Linked DNA regions of Stegostoma tigrinum. The protein of the gene in region 2 interacts with the protein of the main gene of each other region in a pairwise test. Links are inferred from orthologs where the notes say so. Each region holds a gene or a part of one and is shown on either strand. Other genes may lie near its edges.

Evidence for each region.
Region 1: the proteins of meltf (region 2) and hematopoietic prostaglandin D synthase-like interact in binary tests that used the Homo sapiens proteins (3 or more experiments, as listed by UniProt). The two-hybrid records come from large-scale screens. The link is inferred for Stegostoma tigrinum from reciprocal best matches to the Homo sapiens genes MELTF and HPGDS.

What each region holds. Positions count from the first base shown.
Region 1 is NC_081354.1:7,139,808-7,146,781, reverse strand, and holds the start of hematopoietic prostaglandin D synthase-like, read right to left. Parts: upstream 3,039-6,974; 5' UTR 2,776-3,038; intron 1,075-2,775; 5' UTR 1,067-1,074; coding exon 934-1,066; intron 1-933. UniProt on the Homo sapiens protein: Bifunctional enzyme which catalyzes both the conversion of PGH2 to PGD2, a prostaglandin involved in smooth muscle contraction/relaxation and a potent inhibitor of platelet aggregation, and the conjugation of glutathione with a wide range of aryl halides and organic isothiocyanates.
Region 2 is NC_081367.1:52,325,813-52,332,864, reverse strand, and holds the start of meltf (melanotransferrin), read right to left. Parts: upstream 3,020-7,052; 5' UTR 2,662-3,019; coding exon 2,607-2,661; intron 1-2,606. UniProt on the Homo sapiens protein: Involved in iron cellular uptake. Seems to be internalized and then recycled back to the cell membrane. Binds a single atom of iron per subunit. Could also bind zinc.

The DNA of each region.
Region 1 (6,974 bases), on a different chromosome or scaffold from region 2:
CCCTAAAGGAATATTAGTGAACCAGATGGATTTTTTCCAACAATCAACAACAGTTTCATAGTCATAATTGGAGTCTTAATTCAGAGTTATTTTTTAAATTTCAATTTCCACCATCTGGCATGGCTGGATTTGAACTCAGGTCCCCACAACATGAGCTGAGTCTTTGTATTAAAAGGTCTAGTGGTAATACCACGAGGCCATCACATCCCCACATCTAGTTTTCTTTTGAAAGTATCTAAGTAATTAATCTTATAACCTTTCCATTGACGCACATTTGATTTGATTTGATTTTTGTCCCATGTACCCAAGTACAGAGAAAAGTTTTGTTTTGTGTGCAGTACAGCAGAATGTGCAATGCGCATTCCACATTCTAACCAATTACAGTATAATTTTTCCTTATTTCCCTCCTGTCTTTGTTACTGTTATTAAGTATAGGGTCCCTACATGCGAGCTGACGTGTGAAACACTCTCCATGTCTACTTTATCCAATGCATTCATAATTTAACCTGTATCAGTTTCATGATTTCTCAAATGAGAAGTATTAGAATGTATCTTTAGTAGTGGGAATTTTTGTTGAAAACCAGGAGTAAACCAACAAAGCAAGAGAGTGCATATCGTGTGAGGAAAGAACTCAGTTTCCCAGCATTAATCTCCCTTTAATTGTTCAGCTGGCACAGAGTTCAAAACTTACCTGCTCTTTGGCCCTACCAACTGATTAAATCAAAGCAGAGTCCTAATATCAAACAACTATTTAAACTTAAGTTCTGATATAAAGTCACTCTATACAGGGCAGACCAGAATTGCACAGCATCTTCCAAATTTAATTTCCATTCATGGGATTTGACAAGACAATGGGCAAAACCAAAAAAGGAAAATGAAAATAATTTATTCTTCCAAAGCTTGCAAATGTTCTTTGCAAAGTGTGCTACTTACATTTTTTTATATTAGGCCAATCCATTATGTCAATGGTGTTGTCTTGGTAGTTTATTCCACTGTATGCAAAAATATAACGAGCAGTCTCAGCTCGCCCTCTTATTTTAAAGTAGGTCAACTTGTAGTTTGGCATGTTTCAACCTGTCAGGATCAAGCGCAATACAAGTTTCTATGTAAATGTGTCATAATCTTTCACATGAACACTGGATTTTTATCAGGATCCTACAATTGGCTCAGTCAAATTTTTGTCAAGAGGTTTGATTACACCCGAGGAGCATAAATATATAAAATGTTGCTGGCAGAGAGAATCACTGTACATTACTTAATTGCAAGCCAAAGATTGAATTCTTATTTTCTAATACCTCCATGATTTCTCCTCTTCTTGGCAACCTCCTCCAGCCCTGCAACCTTCCGAAATTTGGCCTCTTGAGCATTCCCAGTTTGCATCACTTCCCATTTCATGCTTTCAATTTGACTAAATTCTGCACTTCTGCCCCTAAACCTTTCATTCTTTCTCTTAAAACTGATCTCAAAATCTGCATACCCATCTAGGATATCTGGTCACCTATCCTAATATGATCTTACATAGTTCCATATCAAATATGTGACTTATATTCATTCCTGTGAAGAATTTTGAGGAGTTTTATTATGTTAAAGGTGACACATTAAACAAGTTGTTGTTGGTTAGTTGTGTCAAATAATTATGTCACTGATGTAGGCAGGGATATGACAGGAATCATGCTAGACTTCAATATTAGACCAGGTTATTGTTATCCATGGTGCTCTTTCTGGATGAGTACCAGTTAATCTTCAGGGACAGAGGATGTGCAATATCAATGTTTCCTCCATTCCCTACTATCTAAGAATTTTCTGGAAAATATATTTCCTTTAAATTTTTAACTGAGGTACACATTTGAATTGTATGAAACCAATGCTGTCCCAATAAAATTTTTGCTGATGACAATTACAACTTAATACTACACAAACTAAGGGGGTTAAATAATGAACACTGTTTTTACTTTTGATCCCTGGAATAGTCTTGTTTCTGTATTAGATGTGAAGGATTTCAAACATATCAGGTGCAAAATTAAGTCACCCTGACTTTTGGTCATGGGGGAAAATGCTGTACCCATTCAGATCGAGCTGGAGAGATCTTTCTTTTGTCAGCCAGTCTGACGTGAATGATTTCAATGCAATCGTCTGCAGTTCCATTGCTTTCTCTTCTCAGTGCAACCAGCAAGTTCCTTACCAAGAATCTAGCACAGGCAACCTGTTTTATTTTTATCAGGAAAAACAGGAAGTTGGATAAAAATTGCTCCAACAGAAATTCTTACAAACTGAACGCCAGAGCACAATTTGGGATCCTAACAGACAGAGGCTACAGAGGCACTGTCTCTGTTGCTTCTGTGTCTGTTTCATCCATTGGATGGGCAGTTCACCCATCTCTCTCATCCCTTTGAGGATATCTCCCTATTCTATGGGTCAACGTGCCTCCAAAATCCATCCACACTGCCACACATTTAAGAAGCATCTGGAAAAGCATTTACAATGCCAGGGCATACTATATAATAATGCACGTAAATAGAATCACTTTGGTTTGGTGTTTGATAGTCGATATAGACATGGTGGCCTAATGGCATGTTTCCATGCTGCATGACTCTATCGCTATGTTTTTAGACATGCTAGAAACGTTAACTCGTGTTTTTCTTTCGCAGATGCTGCCGGACCTGCTGGGCTTTTCCAGCAATTTTGTTCCAGTCCTTACAAAATCTGCCCCCTCCCCACAGTCTCACATGAACGCAATTCCTAAACAGGATAGATAAGTGCGGAAAAGTTGCTGACCTACTTACAGCTGACGAAGCGTTTCCTTAAACCGAAATGATCCTGCGACAGAACTTGCAATCAGATAGACAAGCTTGTGCCCCGGAGATTTTCCTGATGCTGCGTACGGAACTCCGGCTGAGTGATGAACGATGTGGAATGCAGATAAAGTCGGAACCAGTCTTTAAATGCTGGGTGCACCATCCGCCCAGCGAGGCTGTTCCCAAGGTTACTGGGGCGGAGCATGGAGCAGAATTCGTGGAAACCGAACACATGAGCAGAGCACTATCAACGAAGTTTCAAAGTGACGCAGTGATAGTGCGAGACTCCCACCCACTTAAGACGCGGAGTCCTCGGTTCAACTCCTACATACTCCGCCAGTAATATTATCGCTGGTCAGCCTGATTTGGAAAAAATAGGTCAATAGAGCTTTAAAATGATCATATTTCAAGTAATGCGAGTGGGGAAAGGTGTGCAGTTTCAAACTCACCTTACAATGGCTCTGCCCGCATTCGAGTTAAAGAAGGTCGTTCGGCCCATGGTGTTTGTTCTGTTACTCTGAAAGAGCTATTCAATTTGTCTGATGTAGAACCGCAGATCAGGGATTTCAGTTTTTTTTACACTGAATATTTACTTAGTCCTCTCCTTTAGATAAAAACCGAAAGAAATGCGGATGCTGTAAATCAGGAACACAAACAGAAAATTGTTGGAAAAGCTCAGCAGGTCTGGCAGCATCTGTGAAGAAAAAAAATCAGAGTTAACAATTCGGGTGCGGTGACCATTCCTCAGAACTGCAGGGGATTGGGAATGTGGTGTGGTCGGGTAGCGGGGTGGGTGGTACTTGTTGGGGGTTGCTGAGCAGAGAGAGATGAGTGGATAGTTGGAGATGGAGCTCAGGGAGAAAAAGAGATATGACAGGGATAGGCAGACGAGGAGATTACTGATAATAAGCCAGGACTGAAGAGCAGCTGAATAAGTGAAGATGAGAGCTGAGGGTGTGAGAGAATGGGTTGAGTTGTGCTAAAGCAACTCATGCCCTGAATGGCAGGACGGAATCAGACTTTAAAATTATTGAAGCCTGGAGGCTGAAGGTTCCCCAACTGGAAAACGAGATGTTGTTCTTTCAGTTTACAGTGAGGTTCACTGGAACACTGCAGCCAGCCCCACATAGACATTTTTTCCCAGGGAATATGGTGGTGCATTGAGGTGGCAGGCAACTAGAAGTTCAGGGTCATTTTACTGTCCATTTCCCCAGAAGAATCAATACCAAATCCCCCACCACAAACTGGAAAGCCACGGATCTCTCCTTCAAATTCAACCCTTTTAATCAAAGAATGCTCAGAGACAAAGTAGCTGTAGAATTTGTTAGGCCAGATGTGAACATTTTCATTGCAGTTGGTAGTAATGGGTTGTACAAAGTCAATGCCTGGAGTTCATCTGAGAAGGACTAGAAAGATCCCACATAAAAATGGACAGCACCAGAAGATCAGTTGTACGTGGGAATCAAGTTAAAAATTCATTGCTTTGAATTGATGCCCTAAAGGCAAGACCCTCATGAATTTGTTGATCAATTTTGTCAGAGGATATCAGAATAAGGGGAACAGATATAACTAATCAGCAATTGTGAAAGCAGATAACAGACTGCTCCCACACGATCTGAAGTGTTCCAAAGAGACCTCTTGGAAAAGATAACAGCATTAGTTCATTGCTATTAGTGACAGAAAATATGACGACATCGTGGCCAGACAACAGCACCTGCAAGCATGAGGTGTAGCAAACTGTATTGACGTTTGACAACTCACAGAAAGCAAACAGGTTGTGTGGCAAGTGTTGTCTGTTGCATCCATCACAAAACTGTCCTGTATTCCAACACCTGGCCACAGCCCACAGGCTCCTTGGTCTGTGGCACTCTAGACACATGTGTTAAACATGAGGGATATACTGTGATTGCACGACCCCCTGGTGCACAAGGAATAGCAATTATGATCAAAGCAGATCCCACAGATTTCTCAGTAACTTCCCCCAAAATGTCAATGACACGGCAGGTTATGAAATCTCATTGTACTTCACTAGAGATTACAAATTTTTACTCGTGCAGAAATTCCCACTCAAGAAATATTACATCACCCACTCTCTGTGTCTGGCTTTGTTCTGATCGACCATCTATGTCTTTGCTGACGTAGGCTCAGAAACTGCAATCCAGTGCATATTCACAGACATAACTCGTACTTCTGTTGGCAGCTAGTTTCACAGAGCTAAACCTTTACTTCTGTCTTTCCCTGAAATCTCATTTAGCTCAGCAACACCAAGCAGACATTATTGGTTGCTTTACAATCCCCACTCTGTCAGCTGCAGTGAATATTAATACCACAGGCTACTTCCAAGTTTTACATATTCAATCACAGGATATGGCCAGGCTGGCATTTATTGCCCGTGCCTAATTATCCAGAGGGCAGTTAAGAGTCAACCACCTATCGTCACATGTAGGCCAGAGAGGGTAGGGATGGCAGTTTCCTTCCCTAAAGGACGTCAGCGAACCAGATGGGTTTTTCCAACAACTGACAATACTCATCATTAGACTCATAATACCAGAATTCTTCGAAAGCATAATTTCAGGTTCCATCAGAGAGATGGTGGAGGGTTGCTTTTCAGACTGGATACGTGACCATCAGTGTGTCAGAAGGATCAGTGCTGGGTCCATTGCTTTTTGTCATTTATATAACTGATTTGGATGTGAACATAGGAGATATGGTAAGTAAGTTTGCAGATGGCACCAAAATTTGAGGTGTAGTCAACAAAGAAGAAATTACTTCAGAGTACAACAGGATCATGATTAGATGAGCCAATGGGCTGAGGAGTGGCAGATGGAGTTTAATTTAGATAAATATGAGATGCTGTATTTTGGAAAGGCACATCAGGCTGGGGTTTATACACCTAGAGATAGTAAGAACTGCTGATGCTGGAGTCAGAGATAACACAGTGTGGAGCTGAAGGGACACAGCAGGCCAGGCTGTATCAGCGGAGCAGGAAAGTTGATGCTTCAGGTCAGGATCCTTCTTCAGTAATCTGAAGAATACCACAGACTTCTTTCAAGTTTTATTTATTCAATCACAGCATATGGCTAGGCTGCCATTTATTGCCTGTCTCTAATTGCCCAGAGAGCAGTTAAGAGTCAACCACATTTTTGTGGGCCTGTAGTCACATGTAGGCCAGACCAGGTAAGGATGGCAGTTTTTGAAGAAGGGTCCCGGCCTGAAACATCAACTTTTCTGCTCCTGTAATGCTCCCAGGGTGTATACACTTAATGGTTAGATCCTGGGGAGTGTTGCTGAACAAAGAGATCTTGGACTGCAGGTTCATTGTTCCTTGATAGTGGAGTCACAGGTAGACAGGATAGTGAAGAAGGTATTTGGTATGCTCGCCTTTATTGGTCAGTGCATTGCGTATAGGAGTTGGGAGGTCATGTTGCGGCTGTACAGCAGATTGTTTAGGCCACTACTGGAATACTGTGTGCAATTTTGGTCTCCATGCTTCAGGAAGGATATTGTGAAACTTGAAAGGTTCAGAAAAGATTTACAATGATTTTGCAGGGTTTGAGAGTTTGGGTTATAAAGAGGGTTTGGATAGACTGAGATTATTTTTCCTGGAGTGTCAGAGGCTGAGGGTGACCTTTATAAAATCATGAGGAGCATGGATAGGGATAAGTATACAAGGTCTTTTCCTGGGGTGGGGGAGTCAAAAATTAGAGGCTTAAGGTGATAGGGGAAAGATTTAAAAGGGACCTAAGGGGCAACTTTTTCACACAGAGGGTGGTGCATAAATGGAATCAGCCGCCAGAGGAAGCTGTGGAGGCTGGTACAATTACAACATTTAAAAGGCATCTGGATGAGTATACGAACAGGAAGGGTTTAGAGGGAGGGATAATGGGAACTGCAGATGCTGGAGAATTCCAAGATAATAAAATGTGAGGCTGGATGAACACAGCAGGCCAAGCAGCATCTCAGGAGCACAAAATCTCCTGAGATGCTGCTTGGCCTGCTGTGTTCATCCAGCCTCACATTTTATTATCAGGGTTTAGAGGGATATGGGCCAAATACTGGCAAATGGGGTTAGATTAATTTAGAATATTTGGTCGGCATGATGATTTGGACTGAAAGATCTGTTTCTGTGCTGTACATCTCTGTGACTCTATCTGCCATGGCAGGATTCAAACCTGGGTC
Region 2 (7,052 bases):
ATAAATCAAAGTTCAAGTCTGCAGCAATTTAGTGATGCTTTTGCTTGAGCAAGTCTAATTGTGAGTCTAGCAGAGTACTGGCAAGGCTGTATCTAGTCTGGTCAACCAGAAGAGTGTGGTGACAATAGAGTGACTTGCATTTCAGAAGGCAGTTAATTGTCAACCACAATACTGAACATGTATACCAGGTTTGGCAGACCAGTGAATTTCCTTCTGTAAAAGATATAACTGGGCGCGATGGAATTTTATAGCTAGTAAGTAGCATCAATATTCTGATCCTAGATTTTTCCATATTTATTTAAATAATTTAATTAAAATTCAGAAACCGTGTTTAGGGTTAAACACACCTCTAGACAACCACCATGCCCTGACAAAGGTCCCTGAAGGTGTATAGTTGGCTGCTGAACAATAAATAAGGGTCTGCGTTCACTGCATTCTGAATTCTTGGCAGCATTGTAATGAACTGAAGGGTTTTAAATCGAATCAGACTAAATGATGTGCTTTTAAATCTCTGCTAGACTAGGGCTAAGTCTGAATCTCACCTCCATCTCCTACACCTATGAACAGCTGCCACTCTTCCATTAGACCAAACCAAATGGTAACAGGAGGAGGCCGTTCAGCCGCCTACATCTGCCAGCCCATTTTTTCTGCACTCACTCCTCAACAACCTCACTTTCCAAAGACCCACGCTCACTTACTCAACATCCTCTTCCCAAACTTTCCTCTTGCCCACTCATTCAGCAGCCCCATTTGGCAAATTCCCTTACCCCATTCACTTTGTAACTTGAAATAGTTTGATCACGTTGACTGCTTTGGCAGTGTGCACGCAGAAATCAGCTGACCTCACCTACTTGGAGTGTATTTGGACCAACAGATACTGCTCTTGCATTTACCAATAGTACCACCACACCAGCACATACACTCATGCCCTGTCACTCACTTAACCACCATCTCTGCTCTACTGATCACAGATTGTTTCTCTCCAACTTGTATTACTAAAAGACACAACTGTACCTCGCTGGTGTCGCTATTAGTAGCATATGTAAGAGAGAACCTGCAACTGTGGGAAACTGCAAGCAAATGGCTGATGTATGGCAGTGCCACCGTAAGCACCAATGACAGTGAGCTGCATTTGGAAAACTGACTGAGAGAATGGAAGGCTTGTAAAAGGTGGGAAAACCTCCTATCCATGAGAGTCCACAATGACACAAATAAGGGCAAAGTACCCCTTAGAGACATCAGCTGCACCTACAGGGGTACATATTCCTCGTTTTGGGAGCCACTGTCTTAGAATGTAATGGTGAATATGCATCTTATTCTCTGGCAAAATAATGCCGGGGGATTTGAAGATTTGATAGTCTACGTCTGCATCTGACTCAACATATGCTTAAATTCTGCAACTATCGAATCCATCAGATCTCCGGTCTTCAAAGAATTCTGCAACAATCATGAAGAACGAGCATAGAATTCATTTGTTGTTGTCCAGGTTAAAGAAAATACATTGAACAAAGACAACTGTAAAGCTTATTTGAAGTATTGATGCAAATCTGCAAGAACTGGCCAGCAGAGGCATACAGAATCCTCCGAGTCAGCTTCTCCTCAGGTTGTGAAAGAAAGTATACTGCCTGCCGCCTGGGCACGAAACTGGCACCGTGGAATGGTCACCAATTATACAGATTGTCTACTTTTCATTTCCACTAAATTTCCCTTGAAATCTTTGTGGAAATTTCATCTAATTTAATCAAATGGATTTGCGTTTACATCGAATTAATCAAAACCTAACAGTAGCAAGCAGCTTATAGAATTTTGAACACAGACGCAAGATGGTTTTTAGAAAACATTTTTTTTGTGCTTGATGTTTCAAAGCCAAAATTCAGTTTTTCGCCTCCAGCCTGGAATTTCTTAATGGCTGATCACTGGAAATTGAAGTGTGTGGATTGGCGGGCGCGGGGGGGGGGGGGGGGGAGAGGTAGGGGTAGTAATCTTAAGTGCTTTAGTGACAGTGATAGTTTGGATTCCACATTGTCAAACAGTAACATTTGGATTAACAATACTGATGGCTATTTGTCCAAATTCCTCGTGTTTTATTCAAGATGCAATGAGACTCTGCTGGTCGATTTGGTGGATTACGTGTGGTACGCCTTGATTTTCAGATGTAGAATGAGTCGATGTCTGTCAATCCAATGATAATCGCGAGCCTGCATCCGAATCCCTGGCAATCGAGTGAAAACTCGCCCGATTGATTTGCGATATATTTCTCCTTCTACTACAGATTCTCAGAATTTGATTCACTCCAGTTTTCCTCCTGAATATGCAGTGGTCCCGGGCAACATCAGGCTAAGGTTGAAAATACACGCAATGGCAAAGGACAGAAAGTTTAGCAATGTGAGTTTTTCACAATTCACACGATACGTATTGGCGAACAATCCCACACCTTAAACACATAAACTACCTCAAATCATTTTGGCTCTAATTATTTTGACACAGTCTACTTGAATTCAGTCATACATCCCTCTCCAAACAGCCGGAACATTATCGACTTTCTTGGCCAGCCTCAGGTTACAACCCAAAGTTTGCATCAAACTGAAAGGCATTTTTGTACTTGCCCAAATTGAAGATGCCGACGAAGGCGCACACAGCCCAGAGAGTGGGTCCCTGCATGTTGCGCTCCTTGTTGAAAACGACCGAAGGCTTTCCCACCGCTTTGACTTCTTCTGCTCCGTATATACCCTTGCGAGTTCCTTTTGTCAAGTTAATGATTACAAGAGTCTGGCAGCCGCTCCGGTTAAGAATCGGACTTTCTCCATTGCACACACTGCAAGTTGCAAAATGTCCTTCAAAGTTGTTATTTTATCGCCGTAATTGTGCAATTTTGTTCTTTCTTTTTCTCCGCAATTCTTCCAATCTAAGAATATCGTCCCAAGACCTATTTCAAAAGCAAACTGCGTGTAAAATGAGGCTAAAGATAGCTGGGCACCGCGATCATAACACGTCTTTCAGACCCCAGTACACTGTAGACTTTGTGCTTCACAGATTTTTTTAAAGGGGTAATGACATAGTTCGCCGTAATTCTGGCCGCGAATGTAAAAACAAGAAAACGATCCCCTAAGTCGAAACAAAATCAAATTCTTGTTAGATTTAGAGTTGTTTAATATTGTAACTTATACCTGAGGCAAAGTTGTATTATGTAAATTATGAAGAATGTTAAAGAATAGTGATTGTGGACAGAAACACCATTTCATAAAAAAGTATTTGCAAACTTTTACTTAAATATTAAAAGTACGCTTTAAGAAGTTGAAGGCATATATTTCAAAAGATGTTGGTAAATATCAATGCTTCACCTGTGTTTAAGGTTATCAGGATGGAATCACAGATCTCCACCTTTCTGGTCTCTGTTATTTCACAAAAGAAGGAATGTTTTGTTTTCCTAATGCTTCCTGAGGTAGATGGGTTTGGGATTACTTTGCTGTGCAATAACCATTACAACAGTTCTGGAGACCACCAGCAAATACTGAAACACTGCAGGGAACCCTCCTTCAAGCCTACAACAACTGTCTGAGGGAAAGCAATGTCACCTTCAGCGTGAAAGGGCAGAGTTTTAAAGAAAGTCTAAGCAATAAGGACAATGGCAAGATTTCTGGCAGAATCAGACAAGAGGCCCAGTGAGGCTCATCTTCTCACAAGTAGCATGAGAAGGTTCCCACGAGCTGGTGGAGAGTTGCCGATTAAAGGAGATTGCAGCTTGTTAAACTGCTTTCTTAAATTTCAGCTTTCTATCTTACCGGACAAAGTAAATTTTGAGAAGACTCAAAGTGAAAACAAGAGTGGGTATCTGGTATAGTCAGCTCACCACTTACTCTGAACAATCTCCAATTTGCATTTGAACAAACTGCAGCTCAGGAATGATCCAAAAGCACCAGCCATATGTATCTCTCATTCTTAGACAATGGCATTCGGTGTTTTTGCCAACCCTTCATAACCATTATGGCACCTCTCCAATACACTGGCAGGATGCTCTGCTGGAAGCACAGATTTACATTACAGAGCACACTGGCAATTTGCATTAAAACACAGCTGATGGGACATTTTGTGCACAGGGATAAGTAACCAGTTCACAGACGGAACCGGGTACTTGGTGGGTTTCTTTGCTTTTGCTTAATTAGAGCCTACCTGCTTGCTCACAATAGCTATGCCTTGCCTTGCTGTCCCAATTAGCACAATCACACAACCAGCTGGCTTACTTTGCTAGTTCACAGTTCTCATCAAGAGGTATATATTGTGCTACATGGTAGAGTGCTCCAGCAATCTCATGCCTTCACTATGTGCCAACAGCTTATGCAGCCAACATGCAAGTAGCCATGTCTTGAAGCCTTGGAGAAGTAGTCCTCAATGAAGACAATCAACGAACTCATCAGTCACGGCTCCTAACACAGTAGGTAGCCTCACATATCTGTCAAGGGAATTGACCACTGTCAGGCATCTGCTCAGGTGATCTTGATCAGGAGCCCATGACTCTGCAGTCCAGAGAGTGTGTCACGGTCAGTTCTGTAACTCCATAGTGGACAGTCTGGGTTTACGGCTAATGCAGCTGGGGAAATGTACATTTGTCAGTCAGGGGTGTGGGCAATTTTTGTTTTGGGCTGTCCAATTGAGTCACTCAAGGATCAGGATATGGCCAGTCCATTGACTCTGTGTGCAGATTCTAAGACGAAAGGGGCTATGCCACAGGAATGAGACTTGGGAAATTGTCTCTAGGACTGGGAGCTACTGCCTGGGGGAAGGATGGGGTAGAGGTGGGGAAGGGTTGGGGGGAGGTGGGGGAGATTGGTGGGTAGGTGGAATGACAATGTGAAGGAGGTCGACTCAGTCTGCATGGGAGGTATACAGTAAAATATGAATGGGAAGGGGTTCAGGTGGAATGGCAGTCTGTCCACGGTCAGAAGCACCCTAACTGCAATAGATGTGGGGGGCCTGGCACTTTTAGTCAAGAGCTGTGGGGCAAAGGAAGGCAGATGCAGATGCATGTACATGGGTTGAGTGGGAATCTGGAAGGACAAAGTCCTTCCTGTAAACTTCATAGACTATCTGGAAGAGAATTTATATGTTTGGAACTCACTGACATTGAGACAGTGGTTGTAAGTCAGTGGTTGAACATTACTTATTGTCATCTTTCATTGTGCAGGAAATCTAAATGATGATTGCAATAGAGAAGAAAATGGCTGCAAGCATTCTTGGAGAGAACAGGGTAAAGATGTCCTTTGAGTGCCAGTGTGTTTAGGGCATTTCTTGCTTGGCCAGCTGTGGATATTCCACAGTGAGATGCCCACCAGCATGTAGTCCCACACTCACGAAGCCTTACATTCCCACTGAGGTGTCAGTAACTGAGCTCATGTGGGATGCTTAAAGCACGTTGCTGATGCTTCTTTTGAGGCCTTGGTACTCGTTTCTCAGAGGTCCAGGAGTTATGGACATGCTGGGTGGTACCTGCAAAACATAAGAGAGAGAAGGTGTCATAACCAGTGATTAGAAGTACTGTGCAATGAATGGCACTGACCACAGTTTTACTGGGAGTGCTGCAATGGATGAAGAGAAGTCATTCAGGATTGGTGGGGTGCAAGCTGAGAGGTGAGAGCACAGGTGAGCGAAGAACTCAATGTAACTTGGACTTAGCCAAAAAGAATAGGATTCAGATCAGAGGACTTTACTTAGTACATAGCAAGAAACATAATACCTTACAGGTCACTTGACTTTCTTTCTATAACATCTTTGAATTGAGCAAGCATGGAAAGCTATGATAGAGACAACTCTCCCTTAAGCCTTTGATTTTTTTTTTAATCAGGTATCTACTACTTGCTGTTGGCGTCAAAGATTTTCAGATAAATTATCTTTATCAACCTTAATCTCACATAAACACTCACTCCACTAAATTTTCCAATTAGGTTTAGAGACTATAAGTTCCAATTTAGTCTAAATTAAAGTCAAAACATCTCTCTACTCAAGTCTATTCCTTCTCAGGGATAGAAGACAACCCATCAAGGTCACAGTCTCAAGGGTGTCTCATTAACTGAGACATGCCTTTCTTTATCTGAGTCAAACAAAAGCTATTAAGCTAAGAAGCAAACATACAGCCAGATATGTCAAGATGCTTCATTGTTTTGGAGGTCATTACGGCTACCAACATGGCAGTGTGATGGGACTGATACCAAAATGCTGAACTCTTCCAACATAATCGGTCAACAAAATTGACTCCTTTGTGAATTACAAACAAATTTGCCATTTTAACAGTGAAACATAAGACCATAAGACATAGGAGTGGAAGTAAGGCCATTTGGCCCATCGAGTCCACTCCGCCATTTAAATCATGGCTGATGGGCATTTCAACTCCACTTCCCTGCACTCTCCCGGTAGCCCTTGATTCCTTGTGAGATCAAGAATTTATCGATCTCTGCCTTGAAGGCATCTAACGTCCCGGCCTCCACTGCAATCTGTGGCAATGAATTCCACAAGCCCACCACTCTCTGGCTGAAGAAATATCTCCTCATTTCCATTTTAAATTTACCCCCTCTAATTCTAAGGCTGTGCCCATGGGTCCTAGCCTCTCTGCCTAACGGAAACAACTTCCAGCGTCCACCCTTTCTAAGCCATACATTATCTTGTAAGTTTCTATTAGATCTCCCCTCAACCTTCTAAACCCTAATGTCTAATGAATACAATCCCAACACCTCAAGCTTCAGTCTTGAATCCATGGTTTTTAGTCTTTCTTTATCAGTTTAAGAGCAAACATTGTAACAGAAGGTGTTGCTTATTATCAGCATGTAGAAAGATGTCTGTAAAATGAAAGTGTATCTCCAAAGAGAGGAAGAAAAAGATCTTTCCACAGTTAGGATTACTGGTATATGCCTGTACCAGTTAGTATGTCAATTAAATGTACATCTTTCCTTGAGACCAAGGGAATGAAGTTTAAGGAAGCAAACCGTGACACAGTCACAGAGCATAGAAGGAGTCATTAGAAATCTGTAGAGATGGAGATACATAAGTTGGACAAGCTCAAA